4 linked regions of the Coturnix japonica genome follow. The protein of the gene in region 3 interacts with the protein of the main gene of each other region in a pairwise test. Links are inferred from orthologs where the notes say so. Each region holds a gene or a part of one and is shown on either strand. Other genes may lie near its edges.

Region 1 (4,078 bases), on a different chromosome or scaffold from region 3:
AGGGATCCAGCAGCCTTTCTCTGCTCACTGGAGCACTGCAGCCTCTGCCCATGGATGGGGCTCTGCTGAGGTGCTGCTCTGGGCATGGTTTCTTCCAGCAAAGGAGAGAAGAGAAGAAGCAATGCTTTGCTGTGGGCATTGCAAGTCAAAAACTGAGCCCTGCATTGCAATGGTGGGGTCTGCACTGTGATGGTGAGCCTTGCACTGTGATACTGGGGCATGCAATGTGATGGTGAGCCCCATAATGCAATGGTGAGCCCCATATTGCAATGGTGAGTCCTGTACTGTGATAGTGAGCCCCAAATTGTGATGGTGAGCTCCACACTGCTGGGGTGCTCAGCTCCTGCAGCATCACATCAAGAACCATAAGCAATAGGTGAACAAGGAACGCCAAGGGCAGACGTGTCTGGCCCATCTGGTGGCCTCCATTGATGGCATTGGTGGACAAAGGAAGGGCACAGGCTGCAGTTGTGCAGGGCCTTTGCACGGCCCCACACTGTGCCCATTTCTCTCAATAGGAGAGAGGTGGGTTTGAAGGGTGGGCTGTTTGGTGGGTAAGGAAGTGGTTGGATGGTCATAGCTTGGGATCTGTGGTCGTGGTGGTCCTACAGACCCCCCTGCGCTGCAACTATGGGGGGGCAGAGGGCAGGGAGGGGACTGTCCCGTCTGCTCAGCCCTTGTGGGGACCCACCTGCAGTGATGCATCCAGGTCTGGGATCAGGCTGTGGGATGCTCTGAGCTCTGAGCACCAAAGATCCTCTGCTATGGAAACGTGCTGATGGAGCAGCCATGGAGGCTCCGGGGAGACCTCACTGCAGCCCTCCAGTACTTGGGGAGGGGGCTTACAGGGAGGAGGGGGAGTGACTTTTACCTGCCTGATAGCAATATGGTGATGGGGAGAACTGGATGCCCTTTAAGGCCGACCCCACTCTAAGCCCTTCTCGCACCCACGATGCCCGCAGCAGGTGCGGGGCTCTGGGACACAGCGCAGACCCCAGACCCACGGAGGGTCCCACGGAGCGGGGTCTGAGCGGCACCGGGTCGGGATGGGTGGGCGTGGGGGGGGCAGAGCATCACGGCTGGGGGGGGTAGGAAGGAATTGGGGGGGGGGGGGCAGCTGGGCGCCCCCCCCCCCCCCGATCCCGGGGGGGGGGGGGGGGGGCGAGGGGGGGGGGGGGGGGGGAATTGGGGGGGGGGGGAGCAGCTGAGCGCCCCGCACCGCCCGGATCGCGGCGGGGGCGGAGACGGCCGTGGGCCCGCCCGGCCCGGGGAGGCGGCGGCGGGGCGGCAGGTGGTGCCGAGCAGCCGCAGGACGGAGCGGATCGCAGCCGCCATTAGACAATAGGCGGCGGCTCGGGGCACAGCGGCGCGGGGCGGCCGCGGGGCCGGGCCCGGCGCGGACAAAGGCGGACGGGGAAAGAACGGAACGGAGCGGAGCGGAGCGGAGCGGAGCGGAGCGGGGCGAGGGGACCGCTGCGGGCGGTGGAACGGGCTGCAGCCTGACATGATGTTTCCACAAAGCCGACACTCGGTACGGCGGCACCGGGAGGAGCGAGGAAGGAAGGAAGGAAGGAAGGAGGGAAGGACGGGGGGGAGCACCGAGAGCCGCCCCCTGCCCGCCCGCAGCCACCGGGAACCGGAGCGGGGGGTGCGGGTGACCTTGGGCGGCGGCGGGCTGCGGTGGGGGGGCGGGCAGGGCTGCGGGCCCCCCATTGGGTGTGCAGCGCTGTGTGTGTTGTTCAAGGGCTCCTCTCACCTGCCGCAGCAGCTCAAGTTCACCACCTCCGACTCGTGCGACCGCATCAAGGACGAGTTCCAGCTCCTGCAGGCCCAGTATCACAGGTACGTGCCGGTACCGCCCCCACCGACCGCCCCGAGCATCCCGGGGGGGTCCGCAGTGCGCCCGGAGCTGGGATCCTCCGCTTTGGCATCGCTGCCCTGCACGGACCGGGACGCAGCGTGGCCAAGAGATGGGCTCCGTGCGGCACGACGCGCTGCCCTCCCAGCCCAGCACAGGTTTACCCCCAGGCTCAGCCTCCCCAGGCCGGTATCACCTCCAGGTCCCACCTGGAGGACCGATGTGAGCATCCCAAGGAGGGGGGGGGGACGCCCGGTGTGCACCCATTGCTGCCTTCCTTTCCTTTGGCCACGCAGTTCGGCCCAGAGTTGGCCAAAAGCTGCAATCCAGGCAGGGAACGCTCTGCTCACTGCCCAAAAGGTGGGATTCTGGAAGGAGAAGGAAGGAGAACGCTCTGCCTCCCCCACAGCCAGGTCTTACCCCAATGCAGGACTCCATGCACAGCTCTTCCATCCCTCCATCCATGCACAGCTCTTCCATCCCTCCATCCATGCACAGCTCTTCCATCCCTCCATCCCTGTGCAGCTCTTCCATCCCTCCATCCATGCACAGCTCTTCCATCCCTCCATCCCTGTGCAGCTCTTCCATCCCTCCATCCATGTGCTGCTCTTCCATCCCTCCATCCCTGTGCAGCTCTTCCATCCCTCCATCCCTGTGCAGCTCTTCCATCCCTCCATCCATGTGCTGCTCTTTCATCCCTCCATCCATGTGCAGCTCTTCCATCCCTCCATCCATGTGCAGCTCTTCCAGCCCTCCCTCCTCTCGCTGGGAGTTTTCCTCCCCTCTCCCTGCTGGCTGCCATTCTTGGCTCACAAATGCTGCAGGGAGCACTTAAAGCCAAATGCTTCCGCTTTTCCGCCTGCGGAATGGCTTCTGCTGACCCAAAAGCTGGCTGCCGATGGGCTCTCTTGCTGTTTGCTTCCTAGCTGCACGCATGCACCAAACCATTGCTCCGTGTGTTGCCCTTTCCCTATTGCTCCCACCTCCCCGAGCTCTGCATCGTGCAGCATTGTGGCCCCCCCTTGCAGGACCCGATCTGCTCACAGAGCAGCAGGTTTGGTGGAGGTGAAGCTGTTTCTTGTTTGAAACATAAAACCAGCACATGCTGCTTGCAGCTGCCGGGCTGGGGAGCTGCACAGAGCACAGCGAGCAGCACGTCTGCTCTTAAGGGTGCAAAGAACCCAAAGGAAAGGGGGAAAAGGCATCATTCCAGAGGCCTGCACTGCACCTGGGCTTCCCCAGTATAGGAGGATCTGGTTGCTTTGCTGAGCTGCACTGGGCACACAACAGGCTGGGATGGACCCTGCAGGATGCAACCCAGGATGCAACCCGCTGCCCTGCTGCTTCTCTCACTGCTTTCTGCCTTTGCAGCTTGAAGTTGGAATGCGACAAACTCGCCAGCGAGAAATCGGAGATGCAGCGTCACTACGTCATGGTGAGGAGCTGCCGGGGCAGCGCGTGGGTGGGGAGCAGGTGCTGCTGCTGCTGGGCTCGTGCAAACGGGGCTCCTCGTGCACACAGGGCTCCTCGTGCAAACAAACAGAGCTCCTCGTGCTCTGCACCCTGTGTGTGTGCTGGGTCGGTGGGTGCAGGATGGACATGCAGGGTGTGAGCAGGGAGCTGCTGTCTGTGTGCAGAGCTGCTCTGCTGCTTGAGCAAACTTGGAGTGCTCAGGAATTGACTTCCCGTGCCAATAGCTTGCACTGGAGCTGCCTGTTGTGTGAGGGGGGTGGGTTATTTTGCGTGTGTGTTTCCTGCAGCTCCTTCCCAAGCAGCTGGAGCTGTGTGCAGCTGGAGCACAGGGCTGAGCCCTTCCATTTGCTGCCGGAGCAGCCACGTGGGCGTTAGGAGATGGGCCAGGCACAGCAAACAGAGCCGGGCTGTGCCTGTTCCCAGCAGAGCACTGAGCTCTCCCTGTGATGCCAGGGCTCTGTGAAGGTGCTGAGTGGGCTCTGGGTTAGTTGAGGTCCCACCTGGGCTGGGGGCAGCAGGAAGGTACAGATGTGGGGGTCTCTTTGCATGCTGGAGTCCTCATCGTGTCTGTTTGTTCTCTTCTTCCCCACTCCGCAGTACTACGAGATGTCCTACGGGCTGAATATTGAGATGCACAAACAGGTATTGGGGGGGGTGGGCTGCCTGCTGTGCCTTCTGTCCCTTCAGTGGCATTTCAGGATGTCAAACGTCAGCACTGATTTTGGGATCTCCAGCTCTGGCATTGGG
Region 2 (3,971 bases), on a different chromosome or scaffold from region 3:
GCCTATGCAACCATTCTCACTGAAAGAACAACCACTTTTCTGGCTGGGTATCTCTTATATCTGGCCAGGGTTTGAAAACCGTGAGCAGTAGGGCTGTCCAAGCATTCAGGGATGAGCAATTTTGGTCCTGCCCTTTTCTGAGCTGGCCAGTCCCGCTGCTGCAGGCACCGTGCTGACCAGGGGATGCCAGGCAGGCTGTGGGTAAGCGATGGGCTGGGGACGCAACACAGAGAAGGAGCACTCTGCAATTTTCCAATGCAAATTACATGGAAATTAGGCTGCTGTAAAGCCAAAGGCCCCTCTGGAATAGGACCTTTAGTTAACATAACACTTGTGCTAAATGAAGCGGTTGACACAGCTTTCAGGCTGTAGTGCCACTGTTAATTCACCGCGTGAAAGGGCTGAAGCTTCGGTTGAGCTCCGCGGGGGAGGAGCTGCCCCGCCGGGACTGAGAGCAACGCTCCTATTGCTGGGGCAGCCCTCTTAACAGAGATGTGCAGCGCTTTTAACAGCCCTCCGTGCGTTTGTACCAAGGCTGCGCCTCTGTTGGCTTGGGTCTGAGGAAATCCTGCGACTGTTTTCCCACAAAGAGAACCGTTGTCCAGGGGCACAGGACAAATCAGTCTGCGTTACCAACAAGGGGATATGACAGTGGTGTTCAGAGGTCTTCTCAAACATCCCCACACCCTCTGACCTTCTCTCTGGAGATTCAGCCTGATGGAGAGAGGGTCTGGGCTACATCAGGACCCCACAGCATCTCCTCTGCCGGCCCCGTGCTGAGAGGCAACCCTGCACACAAGGCTCACTCCTCAGTCCCTCCTTCCTGCAGTATCAGCCTGTGTTCTGTTTCTTGCAGTCATATGTGAGCTTGTGGGCTGCTGTCACTGAGCTGAGAGGGTGTCCAGAAACATTTGCAGGCTCAGAGCTGATTAAATAAATAAACAAATACATATTTTTAAGGGAAATAATTGATTCTTGCCACAAGAATTCCATTTTTTCCTGACAAAGTACATCTGACCCAACCAGAGTTGTGCCTGGGATAGTGGGAGCAGTCCCCCCTGTCTCTCCATTAAGAGGCAGAGTGGTGTCAAGGAAAGAAAAGGCAGGACAGAGAAAATCTCCTGGGAGATGCAAAGCAAGCTCCTGGATTGCTAGGACCAGTGGTGACACGCGCCAGACAAAGGACCTGCTATTCTATAAATGAGGCAGCCAGGACCAGCACTAGGCTGACTCCATCCAGAGAGAGCGAGCTCTGCAGCCAGGCACGGTGAGAGCTGCTGCAGAACGAGAAAAGGACGTGCCTGATTTTGCTGTCCCTTCACCCGCTGACCTGGTTTGCTGAGCCTCAAGCACCTGTGACCAGAAATGTAAGTGACAATTTACTTGTCTCTGTGCAGAACTGCATCCCATCTCCCGGGCTTACCTTGCAACTCTCCTAGGAATGCTGATGTTTCCTTTCTGAAACACACAGCGGGAAATATCATTCAGAGAAGGAATTTCAGCGATTACCTTTTACCATCCCCTAGATTCCTCTTTATTTTCTTGGCACTTCAGAATCTTGTCATCAAAAAGTGAATAGTAAGGCACGTTATCTGACGGAATAGTTGCAGAAACGGCTGCGTTTAGTCAAGCAAAGTAACTGTATTCCCCTAATTTTGTGCTGGGAATTTCCAATTCTTGGCATCCACTGAGAAGACTCGGTGAATCAGCCTCATGCCAGGAGAAATTAGTTTTTGTTTTTGACTGTTTTGGAAAGAAACATTCTTACATTATGACCTCACTATTACACATTAGGCAAACTCATTTACACCACCAGAAAGTGCTGTAAATCAGTTGTTGCATTCAGAGAAAATGATTGTATAGAACATTGTGGGCTCCCTGAGGAACAAATGAATTCTACAGTGTTTGATACTTGAACCAAATTATTTGTGAAAACATAGAGAAGCATGCACTTGCCAGAATTTGTTGTGTGATTATGAACTAGATAGATTGTATGGAAAACCTATGAATGTGTAAACAAATAAGGACGTAAAGAAAGAGCTCCAAACTTCAGTCCTCACATACTTAACAATGTCCCACTGCTTTACTGGTTGTATGCCTTACGGCTGGTGTGTCTGCACTATACATCACATTCCAATTTTGTCCCAGCTCAGTAGTCTACTTGGCAGGAAAAGCTTAAGGACTTTATTCATTTAAGCTCAGGAGTCAAACACGAATAACTCTCAGATTTCAAAAATAAATAAATAAATAAATAAAAGATAAAAGATAAAAAATAAAAGATAAAAAAATAAAAAATAAAAAATAAAAATAATAAAAAATAAAAAATAAAAAGTAAAAAGTAAAAAATAAAAAATAAAAAATAAAAAATAAAAAATAAAAAATTTGAAACGGTCCTATACAGAACAGGTTAGTATCTCTGGGCTGATAGAGCCTTATTTGCCCAAGGTTGACAATAAACAATAAAAGCTTTTTTTTTTTTTTTTTCTTAAGTAGCAATCCCTATTTTTCCTGCTTTCCATGAAACAGTAAAGGATGACACATGGTTTTTAGAACCCTTCTCCACTGTGTGTCTATCATTTCAGACACACAAAACAACAACAACACTCCCCACCCCCCAAAAAACCCAGCCAAAATAAATGCAGCTTGCTCTTACTGCCTGTTTAAATATATTATTACAGTGGCTGCAGCACGAGCAGCCAATCCAGCAAATGAGAAGCTCCCAGTGCCAGCAAGCTTGGTGTATGACCTGGGGATGAAACCCAGATGCTCAAAAGAGACCTGTGGCCATGCAGACCTGAACGCTGACCTTCCTATCAGGAGCTGTCCCATGCAGGTTAGCAGTGTAACACCTGTGAGAAACCACAGTCCTTGTTTTGCATTGATTTGTATTGTGCCTCTGGAAGTGAAGCTTTGTTGTGGTGGGTATGTTTCTCCACACTTCTTCTAACCCAATTAGTTCCCAGTATGATGCCATGGTACCCTGTTTTAAATTGTTTTTGGTAGGAAGGGGACACATTGCACACAGATAATAATTTTTCAAACTTTTGGTCCTGCTCAAGTCAGAGATTTGCTATCAGCCTCAGAGCACACCTAGATAGAATGGAAAAGCCAAACATCATCTTGTTTATATTCTAAAATAGCATCATATCCACATTCTCCTGAGGCAAGTGTCCTTATGGCATTGTCCTTCTTCCCCTGCTTCTCACAGTGCCTTCTGACAGGGCCAGCTGCTGCAGAGTGATCTTTACTGAGCTGAGAGGAAGGTGGTATCTGACCACCCTCCATCTCTGCATGGTAGACCTCCAGTGAGGACTGCCCTATGTAAGGAGCCAGTAGATGATATCTGTGTTCAGCAGGGCTCCGCATACAAGTCTGGCAAAGAACAGAGTCCTTGAAGAGCTCCTGGAAGAAGATCTAGCTGGTTTTTTTTTGTTTTTTGTTTTTTTTTTCCCCCTCCATGTTAACCCTGTGGCACTGCAATAGTGTCCAGATGTAACGTTTGGGAAATTAACAGACACTGTTTTTAAATGAAACCCAGTGGAGCTGTAATTGAGGCTTTGACTCAAGAGGCCCATACTGGAGACTGGATGAGGAGGACATAGAAACTTTATTACAAATTGTCTCCCAGATCTCCTTGAATAGACAGTAACATTTGTGCAAGTTTAGCCCCCCCAAAAAATAATAATAAAAAAGGGTAGCTAGAGTTCCTGGGCAAATGCCCCTTTCTTTGCTGTGGTGCGCAGCAAGCTGTTGTGTCCAAGTCAACACAGTAGACATCAATTTAACAAGAACTGCTACAGCACAAGTGGCATCTTTGCACAGGGCTGTGGTGTAATTCAGTTTTACTGCAAAGGAATATAAAAAGCTTGGCAAGTGGGAATTTACAGGAAAAATAATCCTGTGTGCACAACATTTATGGCGTGGTGTCAACCTCATATTTTGCTCCCTGCCAAATGCGTGCTGGGTTACAG
Region 3 (2,318 bases):
TTCTCTGCCAGAAAAAAAAGAAGGATATATCTACACTGGCACCAATTCTCTATTAACATTGCAGGTATATTTACAGTAATGAATATTCCTGGGTGATAAAGAGATCTTCATGTTTATGTGCTATCCTTTGAAGAAAAATATATAAACAAGTTAGGAGAGTTTGGCTACTTTTATTAACTCCTTATAGTTTAAGTTATCCCAATCTCTTTAAAGCCCAAGAAGAGCGACGTGCTGCTCCCTCCCACTCATGTTAGAAAGGGATAAATCATTCTCTCCACAGGGAGAAAATATGAGGGTGTGCTCTGTGTTCTCATCAACCCACCTGCCATTGTGTTTGGTTTTGGTTTTCCTCCTTCTTACTGGCATGGTGGCAGCGTGTTTCCCTTCTCCAACACCCCTTTTGTTCACAGGGAGCCGGTGGATGAGGTGCTGCAGATCCCCCCGTCACTGCTGACATGTGGGGGCTGCCAGCAGAACATCGGGGACCGCTATTTCCTGAAGGCCATTGACCAATACTGGCACGAGGACTGCCTCAGCTGCGACCTGTGCGGATGCCGGCTGGGAGAGGTGGGGCGGCGGCTGTACTACAAGCTGGGCAGGAAGCTCTGCCGGAGGGACTATCTCAGGTATGTGGCCTCCCAGCCCGCTTCTCATAGAATCATGGAATTATGTGAGCTGGAAGGGACTTTAAATGCCTTCTGGTCCAACTGCCCTGCAATGAACAGGGACACCTACCCTAGATCAGGTGCTCACAGCCCCATCCAGCCTGACCTTGGGTGTCTCCAGGGATGGGGCAACTACTGCCTCTCTGGGTGACTTATTCCACTCACCTTCCCTTCTTTCTATCATTTCAGCTTTGTCTATCAATTTAAGGTACAGCTAGTGAACAAAGAATCATGCATAATTCATTTTGGCTAATCTTAGATGTAGAGTTTGAGAATAATGGAGTTTGCTCGGTGCTGCTGCTCCCCAGATGGCTGGATGCTGGCTGAGACGTGTCAGTGTGGGGTACTGCCAAGCAGAAACTGGGAAGCAGTGATGAATTTCAGGGCCACCCTGCCCAAGCTGACTGCAAGCCAGCTCCTAAGAATGGCTTTAAGCAGTTCTGTGCCACTGCAGGCATTGCTGTGGAGCTGAAAGTTATATAAAAACAGGTGTTGAGATTGGCTACTGATGAAAGATCATTTCGTTCTCTCATTTAAGAACATGGTATCCAAGGTAACTGAATTTAATTCATTTTCTGATGTGGTAATGTCAGCCCCTTAAGAGACGCTTGATTCCACCAAGCAGTGGGACTTGTTTGGTTCTGAAATGACAGCCTTTTGTACGTGGATTGATCCATGTCTTTTTCTGCATCACTGGTAACTTACCGGAGGCACTTCAAGCAGAAAGACAGCATGTGCTGGATGTGTAGTGTGGAGCTGCAGCCAGTACAGGGAAGTTTGGTCCTGTTAAGTTGGACTCGGTGGAGTTCTCAGCAACATCTGCCTATCTGATTCGCCCTATTTTTTAAGTAAAAGGATTAAACTGGGAATAGTATATTTCATGAAACATCCGTAATAAGGGATCTCTATGTTCTCAGTTATAAGTGGGTCTTAGCTGTGCTGGCTGTATCCCATTTGTCCCATTGGATCCCTAATGTTGCAGGATGTTTGTGGAACAGGCTGAAGACATTGTATATGTTTTCAGCTACCTTTCTGAAGTCTACAAAAATTAAAGCAACATCTCAAAGGAGCTCCTAGTGATTGTGCTCCGGAACTTACTGATGGGAATTTCTCTTGGCAGAAATGGGACCACTTGTAAAGTCTCAGCAGACATCGTGTTCCAGCAATGAACCAGTGTTAGCTACACTTCCCAGATACTTGTCTTAAAAGGGAAGCAAGAGAAAATATGCCAGTGCAGTAATGTGTTTTCTTGCCATGAGATGGAATGTTTTTGTTTATTTAATAATATAGCATGATTTCTTCCATCATTAATGAGACATCTTGCAAAATTTGTGTAACCTTATTACTTTAGTTGGGCAGAAGTAGACACTGACATCTCCTGGTAGACTAAAGGAATGATGTCTTCTACCCTTAAAGAGCTCTCTGTAGTAGGTATTCCATTTCCAGTTCAGGATAAATGAAGCAGGCACAGAAGTGAAGTGTAGAGGGTGGACAAAATCTTTCTGTAATTAGTATGGATACATAGAATTCAAAGTCAATGTGTGTATTCTTTACACAAGTAATAGGATTTCTCCCTCCTTCTAAGAATATACGTGATAATCTTAGTGGTCTTCTCCAACCTAAATGATTCTATGATTTTGTATTTATACATAC
Region 4 (3,988 bases), on a different chromosome or scaffold from region 3:
AAGAAAACACACCCCACTAATGAGAACGTGTCCCTGTATGAGATGAGGGTTCAAAGAAAGGAAGTAAATGGCAAAAAAAACAAGAAAAGCAAGTCAAAAGGGACACTCTCACATGCTGCTACAGCAGATGACATCTGCTCTCCAGCACTTTTACTAACAGTGCTTACGCTTTCACTGGGTTTCACAGCTGCAAAATCAGAAATAACAGGAAAAGAACCCAACAGCACTGTGCTGTGCTTTGTGCCCTGCCCTACTACCACACGGTTTCAAATTCAATGTAAAAACCTATTAGCTACCATTTTCCTACTGGTTTGATATATAAAGAACTCAGATTCATACCAGTAATCAGGGCTACCAGACAAAAACTTACCAGCACATCTTCTATTTACCCATCTCTTCTACCAGCTAAGAAGGTTTCCCTGTTTGAGGGGAGCGGGAGATACAAACTACAACCAAAAAAGACCCAAGCACTCCCCATTAGGTTTATACACTTTACTGACCATTCACAAACACTTTGGAACACTCTGGTAAATAACTCAGCCTACCCAAAGAAATTGAGTGTATTTTCTCTATGCATCAAGGAAGAATGTTCATTTGGCAAACTCCTGCCTTTCCAGAGCCTCAGGATTTATCTTCTAAATAATCTTCATAGGGGAAAAAAAGAAGCAACAGAAAAGAACCCAGGTTTTAACATAAGCCAAGATTGTCTAGAGTTACTTATACCAACACAGCCCTACATGTCCTAACAAGGCAACGAGCTGCAATAAGGATGAAATGTGAGATAATGAAGCCTCCATATCAGTTATTTACTAGGATGAAAGCTCTCAGCCGGCCAAACACCGGGCACAATTAAAACCCTCAGCTGTTATTAAGCAGACCTCCATCCAAGTCTCTGTCTGTTGGACGGAAATCTGGGTTAATTTATTAACAGCCCGAGATACGATTGTACAGTCTATCAATGCAAACAAAGGCCAAGATGGCGGCGCTGTGCCTGTGGTGTCGCTTTCGGTTTCGCCTTCCCGCCAAGCGGCCCGTTCCGGTCGCAGGGAGCCTTTCCCAGAAGTCACGTGGTGCAGCGCCGCCTCACAGCGCCGTCACTACGCATGCGCAAAGCACCACAGCGAGTCCCAGAAGAAACGCGGAAGAAAAAGTGAAGGGGGCGGGGCTTAGGGCGGCACCGCGCGTGCTCATTGGCCCGGGCGGTGTGGGCCGGGCTCCTATTGGCCCTGCGGTGTATCCCCATGGCCGCGGCCGGGAGGGTATTTGTGGGAGCGGGGAAGGGGAGAGAGCGGAGCGGGACGGGTAGTGCCAGCGGGTGAGTACGGGATGGGGTGGGGGTAAATTAGCATCTGATCGCCGTTATAGCCAGCTGTGAGCCTTGGAACCATAACCTGGGGGGTAGGAGAAGGCTGGGGGGGACCTGAGAGCGACCCGCTCTGCGAAGGAAGGGGATATGCTCTTCAATAGGGTCTGTTGTGATGGGATGAGGGGAGAGATTGGAGCTGAATACAGAGAGACAAAACTGCTTCTAAAGAATCTCAGCAATATCAACCCTAATATTCAAGCCAAAAATCATATACAAAAAGAGAAAAGAATCAGACTCACCCAGCTGATGAAGGGGCTCCCTGGCAATGCAGCACTCCTATACGAAGCAGCCCAGATCCAAACGATGCTCTCTCTTCAGTGGCTGGTATTTATATGAGCCATAGGGCTCCACTCTCAGCCCACCCTCCTGCTCAGCTGGGAGCACAGGTGAACACTGTCTGTACTCCCTTAGGCAGACACAGCCCTGACCTATCAGCTCCCCTGTAAGCAACTACAGTACAGTCACAGTGCTGATACTGATTGAGAAAGGAGCGTGTATGGAGGGTAAAAAACGCAGCTTTTCATAGGGAAGAGTGTTTGAAGTGTTGACTGACTTCTGTTGATGCAATTAACAGTCTTAATTGGCAGCTTTTGGAATTCAAAGCAGCGCAGAAGATGTTAAGTGATGTTTTGATCGTTCAGTGATTCCATTTCACCTCAAAACAGAACGTGCTTCTGTTCCAATTTCCTTCCGTTTTACCGTGACCTCCAGATTTATGGGTTTAATGAAAGCCTGGAATGAGTCATTTTGCACCACTTCAGCTCTAACGGTACCTTAAGCTGCTTTTATTCCCCGCTTCCCAGGATGACTCAGTGGTATCAGCTACAACAACTGGACTCCAAGTTTTTGGAGCAAGTTCACCAGCTGTACGATGACAGCTTCCCTATGGAGATCAGGCAGTACCTGGCACAGTGGCTGGAAAACCAGGATTGGTAAGCATAGAAATTGACCTTTGGGTTATAGGATAATAAACGTTACACAGAGAGGGACAGGTGGCAGCAGAGTACTGGGGAAGAAAGCTGCTAGGGACGTGGGGACACCTATGCTGGTAGGATGCTTTGAGAGCTGTGCAGCTCATAGACTTGAGGAGGGGTGGGAATCTAGTCTGTGTAGGGGAGGCCTGATGTCTAGAGTAACAATTGCCCCACTTAATGTTTTCTTTAGTTAATCTCAACCAAAAGCAGGTGTTTTAAGGCAGTCAGTTTGCCTGGCACCTCAGGCTCTCACCATTCACAGACTCAGAACTGTTTTCCAACGTTCCTATGGAGTGTTGTTTAGCACTGCATGGTGTGTGTATGCATCAGGGTCACTTCTAGCTTCCTGATGCACATGGAAAGGGTCAGTGATGTCACACAAAACGTGGCAAAGGCAGCACAGAAGAACAGCAGTTCTCTATTGAGGAAAGTGAAGCAGAAGGTGAGAGGATGAGGCTGACGTGTTTGAAAGCAGTTCTTCCTGCTCACGTATATTACAACTGGAGCTGGGGATCAATACAACGTTCTCTGTAGTGCATTTTGAGTGCTGGTTGAAAGCATTTAACACAAGCATGCTTGCAATTTATTCTAGGGAACACGCGGCCAACAATGTGTCATTTGCTACGGTGCTATTCCATGACCTGCTGTCACAGCTCGATGATCAATTTAGCCGATTTTTGATAGAAAACAACTTCTTGCTGCAACACAACATAAGGAAAAGCAAACGTAATCTTCAGGTATGCCCAGGCACGTGTTTAAATACCTTTGGTGCTGGAGTTGGATGTCCCCAAGCAGAATATTCTGCCCTGAGGGATTTTCCAGAGAGTATTCGAGAGCCTTAATTTAACAAGTCAGATTCCAAACGTGACTCCATTTTTATTTTAACTTGGCTATGGTTACAAAGTTACTTTCATTAACAGTACAAGTTATGGTTTCTGAGAACTCAAAACCAGAAGTTGCTGTATGCAAGGGTCTGTAATAGGAGCATGCAAGGAGCATGTAATTGGAGTACCTTAGGGAATGCAGCTTTGCTTACCCCAACCCTTCCCAGAGCAGTTTCTTGTCTCAATAAATCACTGATGCAGAAGAAACACAGGAGAATAAATCCTTAAACATAGCTACAGAACCACAATAAAAAACAGGGAATCTGTCACTTGTGTACATCACATTATTCTGACAAAGAAAAGGATGAAGCAGTGGGTAGTGGATAGCACTGCAGAATCTATTTGTGGTCTCCATTACTTCCCTTGTCTCTGTGTTCCCAAGTGGCAGCAAATGTCCCTTCTTTATCTTCCCAAGTGAAAGCAGCACCTGTCAAGCTATAACTCCTCTTTAAAAACTGCAGCTATGCCTCCAAGGTGTGGAGGTGTGGCTCTCAAAGCTGTCTCCAGCACTACAGTGTAAAACAGCTTACTCTGTGCCTTCTTACAGTAACATCTCCAGCCCTATGTCATTGTTACATGACAAGTCCCATCAACTCTTTGTACCCTAACAAAACAAAGTAATACACCAAGCAGAGAAACTGCTTCCTAGAGCTGGCTACAGTCCATGTAGTCTCAAAGCAAGATACAACTCGGGCTTAACCCGACACATGTTATTCTTGTCAGTTGATTTAATGAAATACAAGAGATTACACGTATTAAGTTTA

What was found.
Region 1: the proteins of LMO2 (region 3) and TLE family member 5 interact in binary tests that used the Homo sapiens proteins (3 or more experiments, as listed by UniProt). The two-hybrid records come from large-scale screens. The link is inferred for Coturnix japonica from reciprocal best matches to the Homo sapiens genes LMO2 and TLE5.
Region 2: the proteins of LMO2 (region 3) and TAL2 interact in a two-hybrid assay, tested with the Homo sapiens proteins (2 studies listed by BioGRID and IntAct). The link is inferred for Coturnix japonica from reciprocal best matches to the Homo sapiens genes LMO2 and TAL2.
Region 4: the proteins of LMO2 (region 3) and STAT1 interact in a two-hybrid assay, tested with the Homo sapiens proteins (2 studies listed by BioGRID and IntAct). The two-hybrid records come from large-scale screens. The link is inferred for Coturnix japonica from reciprocal best matches to the Homo sapiens genes LMO2 and STAT1.

Annotation. Positions count from the first base shown.
Region 1 is NC_029543.1:645,298-649,375, reverse strand, and holds the start of TLE family member 5, read left to right. Parts: upstream 1-1,278; 5' UTR 1,279-1,504; coding exon 1,505-1,531; intron 1,532-1,744; coding exon 1,745-1,842; intron 1,843-3,229; coding exon 3,230-3,293; intron 3,294-3,928; coding exon 3,929-3,973; intron 3,974-4,078. UniProt on the Homo sapiens protein: Transcriptional corepressor. Acts as a dominant repressor towards other family members. Inhibits NF-kappa-B-regulated gene expression. May be required for the initiation and maintenance of the differentiated state.
Region 2 is NC_029547.1:48,944,694-48,948,664, forward strand, and holds the start of TAL2 (T-cell acute lymphocytic leukemia protein 2), read left to right. Parts: upstream 1-1,171; 5' UTR 1,172-1,367; intron 1,368-3,971.
Region 3 is NC_029520.1:6,402,647-6,404,964, forward strand, and holds part of LMO2 (rhombotin-2), read left to right. Parts: intron 1-410; coding exon 411-626; intron 627-2,318. UniProt on the Homo sapiens protein: Acts with TAL1/SCL to regulate red blood cell development. Also acts with LDB1 to maintain erythroid precursors in an immature state.
Region 4 is NC_029522.1:2,025,102-2,029,089, forward strand, and holds the start of STAT1 (signal transducer and activator of transcription 1-alpha/beta), read left to right. Parts: upstream 1-1,188; 5' UTR 1,189-1,241; coding exon 1,242-1,315; intron 1,316-2,169; coding exon 2,170-2,298; intron 2,299-2,932; coding exon 2,933-3,077; intron 3,078-3,988. UniProt on the Homo sapiens protein: Signal transducer and transcription activator that mediates cellular responses to interferons (IFNs), cytokine KITLG/SCF and other cytokines and other growth factors.